Linked DNA regions of Macaca fascicularis. The protein of the gene in region 2 purifies or fractionates together with the protein of the main gene of each other region. This does not show direct contact. Links are inferred from orthologs where the notes say so. Each region holds a gene or a part of one and is shown on either strand. Other genes may lie near its edges.

Evidence for each region.
Region 1: the proteins of ATP2A2 (region 2) and CANX purify together in Homo sapiens (co-immunoprecipitation; 3 studies listed by BioGRID and IntAct, with this or other methods). This does not show direct contact. The link is inferred for Macaca fascicularis from reciprocal best matches to the Homo sapiens genes ATP2A2 and CANX.
Region 3: the proteins of ATP2A2 (region 2) and PLN purify together in Homo sapiens (affinity purification with western blotting; 4 studies listed by BioGRID). This does not show direct contact. The link is inferred for Macaca fascicularis from reciprocal best matches to the Homo sapiens genes ATP2A2 and PLN.

The regions. Positions count from the first base shown.
Region 1 is NC_088380.1:186,588,937-186,592,588, reverse strand, and holds part of CANX (calnexin), read right to left. Parts: intron 2,654-3,652; coding exon 2,464-2,653; intron 1-2,463. UniProt on the Homo sapiens protein: Calcium-binding protein that interacts with newly synthesized monoglucosylated glycoproteins in the endoplasmic reticulum. It may act in assisting protein assembly and/or in the retention within the ER of unassembled protein subunits.
Region 2 is NC_088385.1:117,152,019-117,155,770, reverse strand, and holds the start of ATP2A2 (sarcoplasmic/endoplasmic reticulum calcium ATPase 2), read right to left. Parts: upstream 2,409-3,752; 5' UTR 1,888-2,408; coding exon 1,770-1,887; intron 1,071-1,769; coding exon 1,053-1,070; intron 971-1,052; coding exon 888-970; intron 1-887.
Region 3 is NC_088378.1:22,485,421-22,489,157, reverse strand, and holds the start of PLN (phospholamban), read right to left. Parts: upstream 2,942-3,737; 5' UTR 2,845-2,941; intron 1-2,844. UniProt on the Homo sapiens protein: Reversibly inhibits the activity of ATP2A2/SERCA2 in cardiac sarcoplasmic reticulum by decreasing the apparent affinity of the ATPase for Ca(2+).

The DNA.
Region 1 (3,652 bases), on a different chromosome or scaffold from region 2:
AACAAGAGCGAAACTCCGTCTCAAAACAAAAAAGAAAAAACATACATAGCCAGGCACGGTGGCACATGCCTGTAATCCCAGCCCTCTGGGAGGCCGAGGCTGGTAGATCACTTGAAATCAGAATTTTGAGACCAGTCTGGCCAACATGGTGAAATCCCATCTTTACTAAAAATACAAGTATTTTTTGTAGTGGTGCCCGCTTGTCGTCCCAGTTACTTGGAGGCTGAGGCATGAGCACAGTGGTGCACGCTTTTAGTCTCAGCTACTTGGGAGGCTGAGGCACGAGAATCGTTTGAACCCGGGAGGCAGAGGTTGCAGTGAGCCGAGATCGTGCCACTCCACTACAGCCTGTTTGGGCGACAAAACGAGACTCTGTCTCAACAAACAAACAAAAAACCCACAAAAATTAGCCAGGTGTGCATACCGACAGTCCCAGCTACTTGGGAAGCTAAGGCGGGAGATGATCGCTTGACCCGATGAGGTGGAGGTTGCAGTGAGCCGTGACCTTACCACTGCACTCCCACCTGGGCAACACAAAGAGACCATGTCTAAAGAAAAGAGGTCAGGCGTGGTGGCTCACGCCTGTAACCCAGCACTTTGGGAGGCTGAGGCGGGAGGATCACCTGAGGTCTGGAGTTCGAGACCAGCCTGGCCAACATGGTAAAACCCCGTCTCTACTAAAAATACAAAAATTAGCGGGGCGTGGTGGCACACACTTGTGATCCCAGCCATTTGGGAAGCTGAGGCGGGAGAATCACTTGAACTTGGGAGACAGAGGTTGCAGTGAGCCATGATCACGCCACTGTACTCCAGCCTGGGCAACAGAGCCAGACTCCATCTCAAAAAAAAAAAAAAAAAAAAAAAAGGGCCAGGCGCGGTGGCTCAAGCCTGTAATCCCAGCACTTTGGGAGGCCGAGACGGGCAGATCACGAGGTCAGGAGATCGAGACCATCCTGGCTAACATGGTGAAACCCCATCTCTACTAAAAAAAATACAAAAAAGTAGTCAGGCGAGGTGGCGGGCACCTGTAGTCCCAGCTACTTGGGAGGCTGAGGCAGGAGAATGGCGTAAACCCGGGAGGCGGAGCTTGCAGTGAGCTGAGATCCGGCCACTGCACTCCAGCCTGGGCGACAGAGCGAGACTCCATCTCAAAAAAAAAAAAAAGCAAGAAAAGAAAAAACATATTTATATAAAAACCAGTACATGGGGCCGGGCGCGGTGGCTCAAGCCTGTAATCCCAGTACTTTGGGAGGCCGAGATGGGTGGATCACAAGGTCAGGAGATCGAGACCATCCTGGCTAACCTGGTGAAACCCCGTCTCTACTAAAAAATACAAAAAACTAGCCGGGCGAGGTGGCGGGCGCCTGTAGTCCCAGCTACTCGGGAGGCTGAGGCAGGAGAATGGCGTGAACCCGGGAGGCGGAGCTTGCAGTGAGCTGAGATCTGGCCACTGCACTCCAGCCTGGGTGACAGAGCGAGACCCCGTCTCAAAAAAAAGAAAAAAAAAAAAACCAGTACATGAACATTCATAGCAGCATCATTCATAATCACAGACAAAAAGGAGCAAACAACCTAAATGTCCACCAAGGCAGGATAAATAAAATGTAGCATTATCAAACCAGTAGAATTTATTCAATCATAAAAAGGAATGCAGTACTGATACATGCTTCAACACAGATACACCTGGAAAACACTGTGCTAAATGAAAGCAACTGGACAGAGAAAGCCACATACTGTATGATTCCATTTATATGAAATGGACAAAGTGGACAACTGCAGAGAGGCAGAAAGTAGGTTAGTGGTTGCCGGGAGCTGCGGGGAGGAAACAGGGAGTGACTGCTTAATGGGCACAGGGGTCTTCTTAGGTGATAAAGCTAGTTAAGGTATATAATACTGAACAAGGCTAAGTCCAAATCTCATATGCACCAAATATACAAATAAACTTGGCATTTATACTAGTGCATTATAAAAGTTCAGTTATATGTATCTTACCTTTCAAGGAGGAAAAAGATCATCTAGAATTTAATTGCTGGGCATAGGAAGATACTTTTACAAAGGGTAAGAATTTCTTCAGTTTCTGACATTTCTGGAGTCACTGTATGGAAGCTGGAAGCTCAAAGATAGCCATATACAAGAATCCAGCCCCAGCTATCTTAATTTCTCCTCACTCTTCAATGTGCACCCTACATAAAAGGCCAAGTAATTTCTCCCTTGGATGTCAAGCTTATTGCTGCTCCTCTACCTCTGCATATGACATTCTTCAATCAGAAACACCCCTTCCCGTATTCACCAACTCCTTGACTCTCACCCCTTTCCAGCTACTCTAATAGTTTCCCTACAGATTGGACTGCATCATGGATTACTGAAATTATCAGAGCTCACTCAACCAACATTTGGCTGTTCCAGCCACACGGAATATGTGAAATGCTTCCTTACACTTGAAGACAGGTCCCCAAGACTCACCAGTCATCTGGCTTGACAGCTTCTGGATCTGGGATTTTTGGTCTTTCATCCCAATCCTCGGGCTTCCGGTCTTCTGGGTCCTCAATTTCACGTGAAGGATTTACAGGAGGAGTCATGTCATTGAGCAGATTTCCACTATTCACCACAGATTGGTCAACTAGTATTTCAAAACTATTGTCTGGATTCAAGACTGAAAAAAACATTAAATGGAATTAAAAGTACTTAATTTCCCAAGCTCCCTTTACCATAATACAAAAGATCATGACTTCTAACATGAAGCAGCAGAACAGAAGTATGACCTGAGGCTTTGGGGTAAGAACAATGCCTGGTTCTTGGGGTCTTGGGCAAGTTAGTGCCCATTTCCTTATGCAGAAAACATGAATGCTTAGTTCCTCAGGTTTCTAAGAATTACAGCAAATGATAGTTAAAATCTTTAACACTAAAGATTTTACTTATAGACACTAAAAAAAAAATAAATCAAGAAACCTTAATAAACTAACACGATTATTGGGCTTACACATATATAACAGTGAGCAGACAAATTAGTGGACTTATAACTACTTCCCAGTACAAAAGGTCCATTTCTTTATTTCTAATAGAGCTGGTATTATTACCACGTCACTGAAATTACACAAACCTCTAATTTATTAAAACGCATGTCCACTCATGGTTCTCCTTTTTAACTCCCATGGAGAATGAAAAAACAAGTTTAAATCCATAAAAGCTTTTTTTATAATTTAATTTTATTTTTTGAGACAAAGAGTCTCGCTCTGTCTCCCGGGCTGGAGTGCAGTGGTGTGATCTTGGCTCACTGCAACTCCTGCCTCCCAGGTTCAAGTGATTCTTCTGCCTCAGCCTCCGGAGTAGCTGGAACTACAGATGGCCCCATGCCACCATGCCCAGCTAAATTTTTGTATTTTAAGTAGAGATGGAGTTTTGCCATGTTGCCCAGGCTGGTCAATCCGCCTAACCTCAGCCTCCCAAACTGTTAAGATTATAGGGGTGAGCCACCATGCCCAGTCACATGGGCCCCATAAAAGCATCTTAAGTGTGACGTATATTAAAGGCCAGATTCCACACCTAGATATCTAACACGTGGGTGATTGAGTTATAGCACATCTTGACAAGAAATCCTTGGCCGGGCGCGGTGGCTCAAGCCTGTAATCCCAGCACTTTGGGAGGCTGAGAC
Region 2 (3,752 bases):
ATTAGGAACATCTGTGTCCTATTCATGATTATTTTTAGGAAAACTACCAAGCAGTCTACTGCCCAAGGAAAAAAAATGCAACAAAAAATTAATACCGAACATTTAAAAAAAAGTTAAAAACCTAGAAATATACTTGCCACCCCAACACCTTTTTTCTGCTGTAGTTCTTTGCATTTCACTAGTTTCTTAGCAACCGTATAGCACTCAAGTGGGTAAGCACACACAGAACAAGAAAAAACACCATGCTGGTTTTTTTCCTTTAAGATCTAAAACCAACTGTACCTTGTTACTGTACCCTGTAAAGAAACCTTGTTCTTCCAACCTAAGAATCACTTAAGACAGGGGTCCAATTTAGATAAATATACCACCCTAAAGGTCAGTGACCAAATTTGGTCAACAAGGGTGCCATCACAGCCGTCATCATTCTTGTCACCGTCAGGAACAACTGTCACCTTGCCATTACCAGGAAGGGAAAGCAACTGGAATATTCCTTTTGTAAGTTCTATTTACAGACTACAAAGAGTCCAACATCATCTTAGTATGATCTTACAACACGGTAACAATGGAAGAACCCAAAACATTAAAGGCTTCCCAGTGAAGAACTTTTTGATATTAAAAGCTGATAAACCACAAGAATTTGTAAGACCATGCCACACTCTGGGACAACTCCTAATTGCATTATAAATGTCAGGCATCTATTTTCTGAATATTAATGGCTTCAAGTGTTTTGTTCGTAATTTTAAAATGCCCAGATTGTTTTTAAACATGGAGACACAGCTTGTAACTCCCAATATGTTTTCACCCAATGGACACCATTTGTTTTCTGATTTATCTATGGAATACTTTCACCTTTCTGGGGGAAAGAAAATAAATTTTTTCATACTTACAAAAGATATACATGCTGCCAGTAATAAAATCCTAACTAGCAAGTCTTCAAACTGCTCAATCACAAGTTCCAGCAAGGTTTTTCCTGTAAGAAACAAACACATGTGTTGTAGCTGTCATCTTACCATCAGCACACCAAAAGAGGGAAAAAAAAATGTTAAGATTACCTTCTTCAGCCGGTAACTCTGTAGAATGTAGAAATTCGCCAGGCAATGTGTCAAGAGGGAGGTTAAAAAAAAAGAGAGAGACATTTTAGCACTCCGTCTTTCTAAAAAGAACTGCTACAATTCTAAGCATCAGTATCTTCAAAACACAGACCTAGCTATAGGAATATCCAAATTTTTTTTAGCAGAAGGTATACTACAAAGATATCTCAAGAAAGCATGCACTCTTTGTAATCAATGGCCTGAGGTCTAGCCCTAAGCGTGAAATCACTTAGGGCTCCTGAACCGAGGAGTGGTTTCAGCGATGTCATCACTTCTGCCAGATGTGTAACTGGGTAGGACAAGAACGGTCAGAGGCTTTCCAACGACCTCGACGCCTCATAAATCGGCAGGGGACGAGAAAACGTCTTGCCGGGCTCAACCCAGCTGCAGGAGCCTCGTCCCTCCCTCCACCGGGACCGGCTGCTGCTGGAGAGAAGCCTCCGAGCCTTGCGCGCCGAGAAGATCCAGGGCCCGAGACGCGAGGAGGTCCAAGGAAGGCGAGGCGAGGCGAGACCCGCAGCCCCTTTCTCCCCTGCGGGGCCGCCGCGCCGGCCCGACCCTCCGCCCGCAGCCGTCGGCTGGCGCGGAGCCGAAGCCCACGAGGTGGAGCCCGGTCAGCCATCTTCCCTGGCTCTCCGGGCCGCGCCGGGCCCCTGTAGCCGAACGCCCGGCACCTACCGTTGGAGCCCCATCTCTCCTTGAGCTTCTTGACCTGCTCCAGGCTCAGCCCCGTACTCTCGTTGACGCCGAAGTGGCCCAGCACCTCCTCTACCGTCTTTGTGTGCGCGTTCTCCATGGCTTCGGAGGCCCGGCCGGCCTCGCCTCCCGTCCCCGCGGCCTCCTCGCCTCCGCCTCGCACTCCGGCCGCGGGCTCGTGCCACCCCGGGAGCCCAGGCGCGGACGGGCGCTCCCCTCCTCCTCCTGCGGCTGCTTCCGCCTCGCCGGGCGCTGAATCACCCCGCGCCCCCTCCCCCAGACAACCGCCCCTCGCGCGGCCCCGAGCTCCGCAGGGCGGGTGGGGGGCTCCTGACCCTCCCTCCCCTCGCAGAAGGGAGGGCCTCCCTCGCCCTCAGCCGCCCGCGGGGAGCGCAGGCCGCGGCCCCCGAGCCCCCTCCCCGTTCTCTTGAGGCGATCAGAGGCCCCGCCCGGGCCGGAGGAGGGGGCGCCCGGCCGACCTCCGAGAGCGGAACGCGGCAAGGGAGGCGAGCCGGCGGGGCGGTGCGCGGCAGCGCTCGACCGGGTCCCTCAGCTCCGCACGCACGACAGCGGCGGAGGAAACTGCGGCGAAGGAGAAGGAGGTGGCGTCGGGGACGGCTCCGCGGCGGCTGCTCTAATAGCATTTATCGGCCGCTGCCTCCCCTCTCGCCGCCGCCGCGGCATGTGGACGCCGCTCATTGGCCGAGAGCGCCCAGCGCGGCGCGGGCGGCGCGGCCCCGCCCCCTCCCCCCGGCTCCCTCCTCCCGCGCGCCTGGCGCCCACGCTGCCGCGCAGGCCCCGCCCCCTCCCGCGCGCCGCCCCTAGGAACCCGGATCGAGGCCGCGCGCGCCGCGGTCCCGGGGTTGGCGGAGGGGGAGCCGGGGTCCCTCCTAGCTGCGTGCGGTTCTCTGGCCCACCCACCTGCGGACGCAGGGTGGGGCGCTCACAGTGCGCTCGCTGCTTTGGGGCCGGTGGGCGGATGGTTGGAAGGCGAGGCCGAGGAGCTTGGAGCGCGGTCCACGCGGGGCGTCCTCGAGGCGCGCTCGGGCTGGTTGGTGTCCTTGGCTCGCCTCCTCGCCCTCGGTCGCCCGGGCTGCGCTCTGCATCCTAATCTGTCTCCTTCGGAGCCCCCCTCAGGAACCAAGGGGAGGAATTCCGCAGTTCCCTTCCCACACAACCCAAATCCTTCATCTGTCTCCTCGGGAACACCGCATCCCACACCCCCTGCCGCCAGCTCCTTCGCACGCCAGCCCCGATTCTACCCCAGCGGGTTCTGGGCCCTGACGAGGGAACCCCCCTCGCGGGGGGGGAGGGAGAAGAGTTGATTTTATTATTAATAGCTCACGCAGCGCTTGTTAGGTGTCTGCAGGGCAGTCACAGGTCACACCGCTGGAGCTGCCACACAGCAGCTAGACTTGGGCTAGGAGGTGCTTCGCTGTGGCTTTCAGATGAAGGCCGGTTCATAGACTCACTTCCCTCGACAGGAGAAAAGGGGACTTGAATCCAAAGCCTGCTGTTAAGCCACGGATGATTTGCTCTGCTTGGAAGGACGAAACGCAGGTCACAGCGAGATAAAGGGAATTTTGCCAATATAAATTAGCTACATTACTTAACAAGGGGATGGGAAATTGCATGGAATTCATGAACAAAACATTAATATATTCGCTTCACAAAGAAAAGCAGCTTTCTTCAGGGAGTAGGTTGCAGAATGAAGCATTTAGTCCACTTTTGTGTTTAGCAATAATACACCATCCACATGAGCAAAAGCAGAGCAGAAAAATCACCTCAGTTGTCTCAAGTGGCTAGGCTTCAGGACTTAAGATAAATTCCTTCAACAGGTGCAAATTACAGTGCATCAGCAGCTGAAAAAAATGAGGCACGTCATGTCATTTAATTATTTCCAAGGAGTGGAGGTTGGCATGTAGTTTTGATTGATACTTGGAAAAGAAGCAACAAAACCCTACA
Region 3 (3,737 bases), on a different chromosome or scaffold from region 2:
ACATGTCAAAACAAATAGTTTTGGATATTTAAAATGGTAGAGTATGGGGAGGGGTAATTCAGAAATAAAACTGAGGAATGCTGAGGACTGAGGATTTAAAAGGGAACCTAGAATAAAGTATCGAAATGTGGTTTTTGTGAAAGTTTTGAGGAGATATTAACTTGGATTTTAGGTATCAGATGAATTGAAGGCATGAGTATTTTAGCAATGAAACAAATAAAAGGAAACTTTGATTGATTGGGATATGTTACGGTTTTTTGAAGTCTGTGCAGTTAGTTTGAATTTTATCTAACTGCAGTTATTTTGCTTAACAACTAAGGACATCTGTAATGTTCGTATATTTCTGGTTTTGAAAATGATCAGTAGAATATAATTTAGGCTATTAAGAATGTAATGCCTGATGTACAAATTGAATTTAAGTGAAATGGAATGGTTTTAAATTAAAATAGAAGTTTGTATTCTCTGAATTTGCCTTTTAGAGTATCATTTACAGTGTTTGGGGGCTTTCAAATTTGGTTTATCAGTGTCACAATTTACTTCAAGCCATGCTGGTCAATATATAGAGGATGTGCATGTGGCTTAGTGACAAAACCTAAACTTCTGCTAAGGTTTCCCTGTTTTCTTAGTTATGTGATCTTGAGCAGTTCACCTTTTTGCATCGTTCCTAAATTGTAGAATAGGGATGCAGTATCAAATATATAATTAAGAGGACCAAATAAAATATTTGTGTACACCAGTACATTAGGAAATTGTTCTTTAAGAAGAAGTTTTAATTGGCCCCCCTCATTTCTGGGATTGGTAATATATTGTCTAATTTAGAGAGGTAACTAGACTTTAAAATTTGTTTTTAAATTAAAAATTTAATATATTACATAATTTAGTATTACATGTGTAATTAGTACATTAAAACATTAAAATACATTAAAATTTTCTGAAACCATTGTGTTTATGCAATATTTTCTTATTGTTTCTTAATCTCGCTAATTAAAGATATGATTATATACCCAAATGCGATTATTTTCCTTTATGCCTACTAAAATACAAATAAAATAGATTTGATATTTGATTTTGGGAAATGATAGTGCTGTCACGCCTTTTAGTAAAGCATGTACTCTGACTCTTTCATGTGTTTATAAAACTTAACACTTCTTAATTTAAACATTTTATATTTTTCCCATTTATTTCATCTAACACTTTTTTAAGCACTTATTTTTAAACCACATGTCTTCATAAACAAAGACAATACTTAACTGGCAACTTAAGGTATAGATGAACTATTTGGGACATAATGTATGGTACTACCACATTATGTTTGAAATTTTAACGGTCTCTGTAACTGGAATTTCTGTTAACTGAGACATACTAGTGAGCTAAGGGTAACTTTAATAGAATTTCTGCTCTATCCAGAGGTTGTGTACTTTTTAGAGCAATATGTGATAAAGCGAAATTCTGATACAATAAAATAACTCATGAACACCCAATTTGAAGTGTGAGAATGTAATTTGATATTTGAATAAAAATGCACAAATAAGCATATAAGACACCTACACTGAATGACTTTTGTGTAATAGCAAAGGAAAATTATGAGTATAGAGATATGGAGATGCAATTAGGATACCTCAATGGTAGACAAAAATTATGTTTTTGTATGTCTTAAGGAAAACCGCTTACAGAATTACAAAGTTCGTATTTGTAGTGAGCAAGAGAGTTAACATTTGTCATGGGAATTGAGAATTTTAGAGGTAAATTTTAACATATATATAAAATATGAAAGTTAAAATAAATAAAATATATGTAATTTTCTGTAAGCCCTGACAGAGATCTGAGAATGAGGAAACGTTTCATTTACTAAATTGAGGATTGTAACTTAAAGAATAGGGTAGAATTCAAACGGAAGTCATAAAATTGATTGTGGCATCTCCATTCCTGGCATTTATTTTATTTTCTCCTGTCTTTCTAAATCTCAGAGAGGAAATGGAGTAACACTGGAGGATAATAACTTGACAAAATTATAGGCATTAATAGGCAGAAATCCATTTAATCAAATTTGTGTGAAAATAAGATACTTAAGAATATTCATGTGTCAAAATAACTTTTTAAAGTGTCTATTCTCTAACAGATTTTTGTGTGTTTGTGAAAAGTGTTTTAAAATTTCTAAACTTCTTTATGATACAATATTGAATTTAATATCAGTAACTCAATTTATTAACAGCATGGAATTTTTAGAAATGTTTCTTAAAAGGTGACTGGACTTTAGAGGGGAAACATCCTCAAGGGCACTTTAAAAGTAGCTTGTATTATATATTCTTAAGCTCCATTTCATTATTATTCACTGTATGAAATTATGATGATATTGCAGTAGGCATGCTGATAATATGCATGTTTGTAGTCAAATGACTATTCATATTAGTTCAAATGTAAATAACTCAGTTCTGCACTGTTTCTCAGCAGAGCAATAAATAACAAAATTAAGTCATTGTTTTTGTGTGGAGAAATTAAACCACTGCTGCCAAATATGGTAACATAATTGGAAGATTTTTTTAATTGGCAGAAATTCACATTTGAAAAGCAAAATAAAAGTGAAAGTTAAATTAAAATGACAAACAAATAACCAGGATCAAAGATGAATATGACCTTTTTCATTTCAAAGTTGTCTCATTTTTACTGTCACTAAATGGATAAGCATTTATAAATTTAAGCACTTTGTCATGTCATTTTATTGCTTAAGTTTGAACTGATATTAATAAAAGTAACTTATCTTAAAAGTTCAGATTATAGAAATTATAGGAATTAAAGAATTACAGAAAGTAAGAATTACCAAAGTCAGTGAAATCTGTTTCTTACCTTGGCTGCTGTGATCATCACAATATAGAGTATTGTGTTGTATGAAGTCTTATGGGTATTTAGCTGGGGAGTTTTCTGACTCTGTCACCCGGTTTATGGGAACAGTTGCAGTAGGTGGAGGAGAAAAAGTGTTCTAGGGAGGTCTTATGATGTCACATAGGAATTCTGAAGTTTCGATTGGTTAGCCATAGTCTTAGTCTCAGCACAACCAAACTTTAGAACTTCTTACTTTAGGTATGGAAAAGTCATTAACACTTTGTGCTTCATCTTTTGTTTCTAATTTAAAACAGTATATGGCAGATAAATGAAAAAACAAAGTAAATTTGAGGTGGTAGAAAGCTTTTGTTAAAGATTCATGCATCTTCAGGCTTAGAGATAATTGAATATTAATGGTGAAGATGTTGAAGAGCCAAAATAGTTACTACAGGAATTTTAATTATGAGAAAAATAAACACAAGTATAAGCAAAACAACTTTCATTGAATTCTTGCTGCTGTTGCTTTAATACCACGTCTTCATAATGTTAGCTTTCAACAAGACAATAGTGAAATATTTTTACACAATCAAATTTTATACCTATTTTCTTATTTTGTTGTGTGTATGGAAGAAGGAGTGTGTATGAGGAAATCAGGCTAGTAACTGCTTTTTGTTTTAAAAAATGATTTTTATCTTACAGTTAAAGAACTAATAAATGTATTTAATTCATTTGTGTTTTCTTCAATTAGCAGTTTAACAATATATTTGTGAATGGTAATTCTTATATTTAAACTGATACATATAATCCCCCCCAAAATAACAATATGCTACTTTTAAGTATTTAAGATTTTTTTAAACAGTTGCATTAAATTGTTACACAATCTTAATAAATTTTTTATAAACAGATGCAGTATTAAG